Linked DNA regions of Bombyx mori. The protein of the gene in region 2 purifies or fractionates together with the protein of the main gene of each other region. This does not show direct contact. Links are inferred from orthologs where the notes say so. Each region holds a gene or a part of one and is shown on either strand. Other genes may lie near its edges. The genes, in order: ribosome biogenesis protein BOP1 homolog and ribosome biogenesis protein WDR12 homolog.

Evidence for each region.
Region 1: the proteins of ribosome biogenesis protein WDR12 homolog (region 2) and ribosome biogenesis protein BOP1 homolog purify together in Homo sapiens (affinity purification with western blotting; 6 studies listed by BioGRID and IntAct, with this or other methods). This does not show direct contact. The link is inferred for Bombyx mori from reciprocal best matches to the Homo sapiens genes WDR12 and BOP1.

What each region holds. Positions count from the first base shown.
Region 1 is NC_085124.1:480,853-485,430, forward strand, and holds the start of ribosome biogenesis protein BOP1 homolog, read right to left. Parts: upstream 3,058-4,578; 5' UTR 2,669-3,057; coding exon 2,573-2,668; intron 2,486-2,572; coding exon 2,387-2,485; intron 1,744-2,386; coding exon 1,669-1,743; intron 418-1,668; coding exon 93-417; intron 1-92. UniProt on the Homo sapiens protein: Component of the PeBoW complex, which is required for maturation of 28S and 5.8S ribosomal RNAs and formation of the 60S ribosome.
Region 2 is NC_085114.1:8,374,102-8,378,540, reverse strand, and holds the start of ribosome biogenesis protein WDR12 homolog, read right to left. Parts: upstream 2,884-4,439; 5' UTR 2,591-2,883; coding exon 2,532-2,590; intron 2,460-2,531; coding exon 2,160-2,459; intron 2,049-2,159; coding exon 1,908-2,048; intron 690-1,907; coding exon 514-689; intron 185-513; coding exon 120-184; intron 1-119.

The DNA.
Region 1 (4,578 bases), on a different chromosome or scaffold from region 2:
GTCCTACCACCGGTAAAAATTGCTATCAGCTACCAACAGTGTAATTAATAACCCAAACCTGAGAACCTGAGATGTCCTATAATAAAACTTACCTTTCTGTTCGACAGGTTGCATTTGTGAAGATCCCTCAATGACGTCAGCTAGTCTATCCACACTGCCTTTAGAAGTGGTTCCTTTTTTATTTTGTGACTTTTCTTTTAAGTCTTTATCTGGTTTCTTCGTTTTAATTTTTTGCTTTGCTATTTTTTTCTTTTGTTTATTTTTCAAAGTCTGTTTTTCAGATTCACTGCCACTGGAGCCATGAGTGTGTCCAATGCCAGATTCTGCATCACTTTCTGTGTCACTATCTTCACTTTCTGCATTGTTATTATCATTGCTGTTCACAGATTCACCTTCAGCCTCTGAATCGGTTAACTCCTATAAGAAAAGATTTTGCCTAAAAGTTTTTGTTGATACTTAATGAAATACTCTAAAAGCGTTAATGCTTGAGTTTAAATTCATAAGTATCATATGAAGCTTTACAATTTAAAGCAATGGGACACAATTTAAGACAATAAGTTTTTTGTTTCCTAAAGGAACATTAAGAGCAGGAACCATCACAAGCTCCCCTATGAAAAACGAAAACCAAAAGCAGTCCCTCTGTGATTTCTTAACCTAGTAACTTCAACAGAAGTCTTTAAGATGTCAAGGCTCCAAAAAAGAACATTTCATTGCTGTTCAAGGCCAGTGGTGTGTGAGTTGTACAAGGTTACATCTAAAAGACCATGACAGAAACCTTGGAATCAGTAGTAACTAACAGGATCACTGAATTAGCTAGAAATCTTGAAAGCTTAAAGCACCCAACCAGTACTTATTTTGTATGCTACCATCAGCATAGTCGGTTGCTCTTGGTAGAGCAGTCGTGGTCGTGTGGAAACCTTGTTTATTAAAGCCTTGACAGATGTTTTCCATAGTTTGCGAGCTGAGGCTTGGCGCACGCACTCGTTAAGTGGGGTTTCAGTAAGATCTTTCACCTGATCAGACCAGCGCATGGGGATTCGTAGAATACCAGCTCAAGCAAATAAAATGACTGTAATTTAAATAAAAACCTCTTCACAAATGAAACATAAGAAACCAATTGAACAAATAAATCCAGGGTAGGGCTCTAACTAAAAAAAAATTATTTCAAATCTTGTCCAGAAGTAACCGATATCTGTAAGAGTACATAAAAACCACAACAACACCAACTTCAGAGCCCCGAATTTGCATTTCGTAAACCTCTTTGCGTTACAGACATATAAATATAATATATCAAACTATAACCCTATGGTAAGAATGGTCAGGCAGTATAATAATTTGGCTAAATGTCACGGTAACCTTGATATCTTTGAACTTAGACTCAGGGGATTTGTCGGATGTGTGAAGGATATCCTATTTAACAATAGCTAGTTATCAATATTTGTAATTTCAATTGTGTTTTCAACAGCCAAAGCTATGCACATTAATATGGTTTTGCTGAGTGCACATACTATTTAGATTGCAATCCAGATTAGATCTAGGTACTACTTGTATGATTTAGGTAGTATGTATTATAATTATTGTAATTTGTTTTGTACATCAATAAATAGTCTGCATTCTTTTTAATTTGGTTAATAGTATTATAGTGTAATACAAAAATAACCTACTCACAGACGATTCATCTGAAGCATATTCAACATCTTCATCTTCAAGGGAAGACACATCACTGTCCTTAAACAAAACTTCCTGAAATATTTTGAAATAAAGTTAGTTAGTTAACTAGAAGCTGGGAATGGACGAGAAAGTCACTTCTTGCACTGTGATATTGTACACATATAACAATAAAAGGATAAATTGTTGAATTTAACACACCTAAGTTAGGTGTGTATATGATATTATTAAAAGAAAAACATTTTGTAGTTTTCCACATCCAATTGGCCTTCCTGGTGGCCTAAAATGAGGTACCTAGTTTACTCATATTATTATATGAATATACCAAGTTTAAGATTCGGCAGTCAGATATCAATTTTTCTAAGGAAACTTGTAGCTCAGATTTAATCATCATCAGTAGAAATCTTGTAATCATAAAAAATCAAACAAACAATACCGATTACTGGTGACTGGGTGATTTGTAAGGCCTGCACTCATATGCAAAACCATTACTGTTACAAAGCTGCCATGCAGACAGGCTTGAAGTGGGGGACATTTATGATACAATAAAACAGAAACTTCAACATTGTCTTATTGTAGGTGGCACTAATGTTTGTTTACATTATGGCATCTGAATTAAGACTAAAGTGAACTGTGAATTAACAAGGCAATATTTAAAAACCAACTACGTTTAAGGTTGATTATAAATTAATTCCTGAGAAAGTAAAACAATTCTTACATCTTGATCCTGATCAGAGCCTTCTTCATTTCCTTCATGCTCGGAATCCGTAGAATCACCTTCTATATTCAATTCACTCAAAGTAAGCTCTTCTAGCCCCTGAAAAATACAGTGTAAATTAAAAAGAATAAATATAATATTGGTAGCAAAAAGTTTAAAAAGCTTTTTAACAAAGCGGCAACGTACTTTAGTATTAGATGATTCTTGTTCATATTTAGATTCAACCTTATTTTCTGTTTCTATTTTTCTTTTCAAACTTAACCCAGCTTTTAGAGGAGGCATTTTTATTAAATTAACATATTCAGCGATTTTGCAGAAACACGTGTGTTTGATTGCTGCGCTTTTATTTTGACATACTACTACGGCAATTCGGCATACATTGACATTGACAGTTGATTTTTTAAGGGATTTTATGACCTGGTAACTAAAACTTTTAAGTCATGCCTTGTTTTAATTTGGTAGTTTTCCAATTAGAGTATAATGCGACTCAGTGGCACACAATGCTGAATTATTCTGAAGCTTAATTGGAACGTGAATTAGTTTTCAAATGCATCAGCAGAGTGCGCTAATTTCATGATGATGATTCGATCAAGCCATTGCAATGTTTTCAAAAGTATATTCCTGTAAAATAAATTTGTTTACAGATTGGAATTCTAAAATGAAATTGTATTCACATTTTAAATGTGGAATATAAAAAAAAGTAATTATTTGTAACTTCATCCATACTTACATTTATTTTTTTAGTACAGTTTGAATTAACTTTGAACATTTCCAAGAAACTACGACGAAACGAAAGCCTTACAAATTTTTTCAACAATAAATAATATTACTAACGATAATATAAACAAAATTTCGATCAATTCCAACTTAAAGAAAAAACACTTGTCAGCTTTCTGAGACTGAGTTGGTATCGATTGCGAGTATCACGCAAGAGCAGTACTTTTGAGTGCTCGATTATGCGAAGCGTTGCTGTAGTTGGAACATTCAACGTTGAGCATCATGCCACATAATGCGCTCTAGTGCTGTAATTGGAAAACTACCTTTATATGCTTATTTTTATGAAAATGATAATAATAATATGGAGTGAAATAAAATGAAGATGATTAATTTAAGACATTAATCAACTGGAATATGGTTAGATGAGCTATCGAGGCATGACTCAACATTGAAGAAAAGTCGAGACAGTCCTGTTGTGATGAAGAAGTCTAAAACGTCTGGCAGTCGGTTCTGGTCTGTGGGCCAGTGTGTTGGTTCCGGAGTTGAGACAGTAGTCAAGAACTGTTTATCTACACTTTTATTCAGCTCCCTTCCACGTGTAGTTATTAATCTAGAGCCTCAATGCGAATGGTTCGCATTCCAGTCACCCCCAGCAATAAATCTGTAGCCCAAGCTTACAAAGTGGTCAGAAAAGTGTCACTTATTTTATGTTTTGGGAGACAATAAATTGATGATATATTAAAGTCTCCATTTCTGTCACTGACTGCTACTGTGGTAGCCTGGATATGTTCGGTACAGTAGTTTGGTTACACATGGTGTCTAACAGTGGCTTTAATTATCACTGCTGTCCCGCCGTGGGCTGTACCGTCTGGATGATTTGTGGAATAGATCTTATATCCTTTAATTCTTATCGAGCTGCTGGTCGTCATGTGTCTCTGAAATTAGGAGAATGTCTAGACTATGTAGACAGATCAGGATTTCCACTTCATCGATGTTGGGTGCCAAGCCATTGATGTTCCATGTAGTTATTTTTAGTGCAGTCATTTTACTAACTTAGAGGCTAGTACTGCAATGAGTTCAAGTAATGTACTCATTTGCTGTAGTACAGTAGCAATCTTTTGGGATTGTTTTATAAACATTTGTTCTATGACTTTATAAGAGTCTGGTTGATGGATTGTATTATTTTGATGTACCTTAGATCTGACTGTATAGGAATACGATTTCTGCTCATGTGCTTTTCTCTGCTTCTGCAGGGGTTCATTTTCCTCTTTATTCTGATTTGCAGATGTTTTATTATCAGTTTCTTTCTTATTTTTTTGAGGTTTATACTTAAATTGCTTATGTTTACGTGGTAAGTGTTGCGAGGTTTTCCTTGATAGGATTTACTTGTATACTTATCGTTGTATTCGAGTTTTCTCTAGATGAAAAATAATACAGGTTTACGAGTTAATAATCTTTGTTACACAAGAGGTGTA
Region 2 (4,439 bases):
TGACCCAAACTGCACGGACAAAATAATTCTACTATAGTCAATTGAAAAAATCAGTCCTATAATATCTATTATACACAAGTATAGGTGTTATAGGACTGCTTCATTCAATTCATACTCACTCTAGTGGTGCCGTGTTCTGGTTTACTTTTCTTCGTAGCTGGATGGTTTTCTTCTTCTGCTAAGCCTAAATTGGGTAAATATGCATATTTTATTTATTATGTACATTCAAAAAAACTAATTTAAAAATAACAACTAAACCAATATAATACACATTTGATTTATTCTCGAGGACCACATAGCTGTTTTTCCACTTGTCATCTCAAAGGAGACCTATAATATAGCTGTACAAACATTGCAACTAGGGTTTAAATCGATTCAATATATTTTTTTATTGCTTTTGTAGGCAGACGAGCATACGGCCCACCTGATGGTAAGTGGTCACCATCGCTCATGGACGTCAGCAATGCCTTCCAAAAGTCCTTTCACTTAAATTATTATTAAGTATCTACTCACTTGCACTCCAAAGACAAACATTGTTATCCCAGCTCCCACTTGCAAAACGGTTACCATCAGCCGACACAGACAGGCATTCAATTCCCTTGTCGTGGCCACGGTAAGTGATCATACAGTCAACAGAATTTCTAGGTACATTCCATACCCAGAGTATTGCTGTTTGATCATGAGATCCACTGAAATCATACATACCTACATATCATTTTTACTGGTGGTTGGACCTCTTGTGAGTCCTCACGGGTAGGCACCACCACTCTACCTATTTCTGCCGTGAAGCAGTAATGAGTTTCGGTTTGAAGGGTGGGGCAGCCGTTGTAACTATACTTGAGACCTTAGAACTTATAGCTCAAGGTGGGTGGCGCATTTACATTGTAGACGTCTATGGGCTCCAGTAACCACTTAAAATCAGGTGGGCTGTGAGCTGGTCCACCCATCTAAGCAATAAAAAAAAGTGTGTGTGTCCGCTCCGACGCACGACTGGAGTTTACTGGATATAAATATAAATTTGTGTCAGTTGAATACAGTAAAATATGGAAGTTACGTATTCTAGTGAGAATGATCCGGGAGTTGCGGAACACGTGGATGCGGTAATTAAGTAAGTCTATATAATTCACTTTTACAATTAATATATAAGTTGTCCATTCACTGATAGAAGGAATTGTTTATATTTAATAAGCTTTATTAATAAATGATTTGTAGCGGGTTATATTCGGGTATCAACCCACTAACAGTTGATACGTTCAGGAATCGAACCCGAACGGCGTCCGGCCACAAGCAAAACGATGTCGGTAAATTAAACGAAACAATACGAGAAATAGTTCTATATTACGACAACACGATACACTACAGATTATTAACAAATTAACGAGACACAAAACAAACGACTAACAAATATATGAAAATACAATAATGAGAGAAACGCGCGATCAGTACGAGGCTTTGTGGCGGACTGCCGGCGCAGCAGCCCGGCGTCACCTGCGATAACGCGGCCGCGCGTTGGCTCCTGATTGGCGCGCGCACGCATCACCATCAGCCAATCAGGCGCATAACGCATTTCGTGTGACATGCTATACTCTCTAGTACGATTTTGGTCCCCATAATTTTCATACCCCGGGCCTATATATGTAAATCGATTCTTAAGGAGTAAACTCCAAAAATAAAAAAAACCTTCTGTATACATCTTCAGGATTTAATTATTTTTGTCATTCTATTTATGATAAATTATCTATTTTAATTTTGTCAGATCATAACTGCTATGCTATATCTGTAGTATACATTTTTAATATACTAACTAAATAATACTGAGATACATTTAAATTTAACTTAAATTTGTCAATGTGACATGTTTTTATATCAAATATTTTTATCAAATTACTATCTATTCAATTTCTCACCTAACAAATGTAGCTTGATCACCCTGGAAGGACACCCATGATACTGCTTTTACTGGTGATGTATGACCTGGTATGGCTAGTTTGTGTTGTCCTTTTGTGCTCCATATATGTAAGCTATTGTCATAACTTCCTGATAGAATCCTGGATGAAATGAGATTTGTTATTTTACACATTATTTTGTAAGATTTTACATTTAACTTTTATTTATATAAATAAATAATTTGATTTTATCTAAATTTGTTTTCATCTTACCAACTACTGTGTGCCTGAACAGCTGACACCCAATCATCGTGCATTAAACAGTCCTGTGGAGTTGGTGCAGGGAACCTTTCCAAGTATTCGACCTCAAGCGTGTCCTCTGTCGATACCCCTTTTTCTTGTAAGTGCTCTGCGAGGGAGGCACAAAGTAACTCTCCACATACTAAGAAATCAAATATTACCGCCTTCTCGAACGATGGTGAGGTCTCCTTCAAAATTGCGTTGATTAAGGTATTAAGGTCCGCAGGGTGTACGTTACACTGGATAGCGTAAGGACTATCCGGAACTGCATATCTGCATAAAATATAGGCGGCTTAGAGCGAAGTACTTTATTGGACCACATGTCAAAACAAGTGCAAAACTTACTGTTCTTGTTTAGTTATAAATCTAACTTGCAATTGAGCTTCTAAAGCATCGCCAGACATTTTGTACTACAATATTTTAAGTTGTGTTAAAGTTTGGTATTGATATAAATGAAGACTACACAACCTGAAATGACCTGAATCTAAACTAATAACACGCCGGATTCTCATTGACAGTTTTCAGTTTTCACCAAACCTGACATCTGACAGTAGTAGTTCCACTTTTCCAAGTAAAAAGGCGAAGGTATCCTAAATTTTTAACGTTACATCCTAATCTTTTGTATGTTGTATATTTTATTCTCTTTCATGAAAAATGATATGGAGTGAAATGAAGTGAAGTTGATTAATTTGAGATATTAATCTAGACTTGCGCAAAACATCACTTGCCAATGTAATGTGATATGACATCACTTTTACGGACAGGTGATATTACTCGAAAACATTACACATCACTCTTAACATTACTCGGTGCGTTCAATAGATACTGTGACGACGAGTACATTGTATCTATACACCCGAATCATTACTTAAGTGATGTGTATGAACACATCACTTAAGTAATGATTCGGGTGTGTCATTACAGTAGTGTATTACAATACAAAGTATGAACTTTGTATTGTAATACACTGTTATATTACTTGACAGAGATTGACTTACTTAATAATATAATAATTTTATTTTTTACTTAATATAATTTATTGTGGGATGAACGGATTTCATATGGCGACTTAGACTGCAAATTGAGCTCGACAATAATGTTAATATACGAGAGCAGTAGATGCATTGTTTCGGCGCGATATCCTCAAAGTGCATCCAAGGAGGACTGTACTTTCATTTAGACGCCGTTCTTTCTTTCACTTATTAAACACGCATTAAAACAAATAATAAAACTATCTTCATACAAGTGCTTAAGTAATTCAAACACAGAAATTAATATGAAATATTACTAAACAATTACGAGCGACTAGCGATTTTACAAAAGTTGCGAATTAAAAATTAAGTAACTACTTGCGGGGAACTACTGGCTGGCCGCATGAAAAATATAAACACAAATACCTATATTAAAATTCAGACGTACCATAGGTATAAAAATGTACCTAGCGGCCAGGGCATACGGTTCAAAATCACTAGGAATAATTCCATGTCGCTTGCTCATTTATTTTGGTCGATCGGTCTGTCTCGCTCGCTCGGTTCCGTTCGTGTATTAAGCAACATTACACGACAAAGAAAGAAACATATTGAGTGATAGTGTGATGTTTGTTTCCTTCGCGTAATGTGTGATGTTGCATTACATCGTAGAGTAATATTACCGGAGTAATATCACTCGCATTACTTACACATGTCTATATTAATCAACTGAGATAAAATTAAATGAAGCAAGTTAATGTGGAATAAAATATAATCTCATTAAAATGTTGGTTATTTACAGAAACTTTTTCAGTGGACTTGTTGGAAGATTCCGAAAGGCTACATCCAACGGCTCTGTTTCGTTTTCCTACATTTATGCACTTTCACAGATTCTTAATAGCTTATAAACCTTCGTCATTACTCATTTCAACCTGAAGAAACATTAAATTAACAGCTGAATCATGGGTCAAACACAGAACACTCATAAGTTTTGAGCTTGATATAGGTACACTTTGTAGTACACTCTCTTAAATAAATTCTCAGGTAACGAATAACGAATGCCCAATTTTGACAAGTTCTTCAAAATTACTTCCTACAATAGATGTAGTGGTAACCACAACAAAAGTAGTAGTAGACTAGCTATTTACCTTAATTTTAAAGGAGTTAAATTTTCCCAATAATTATTCTTTTGCCACAATAATTCTCTTTGTTAAAAAAAAAAGGATTGAGGTTATGTCAGGCTCCATCAAAGATAGATGTTCTATTTGTTTACATTGCATTGAAA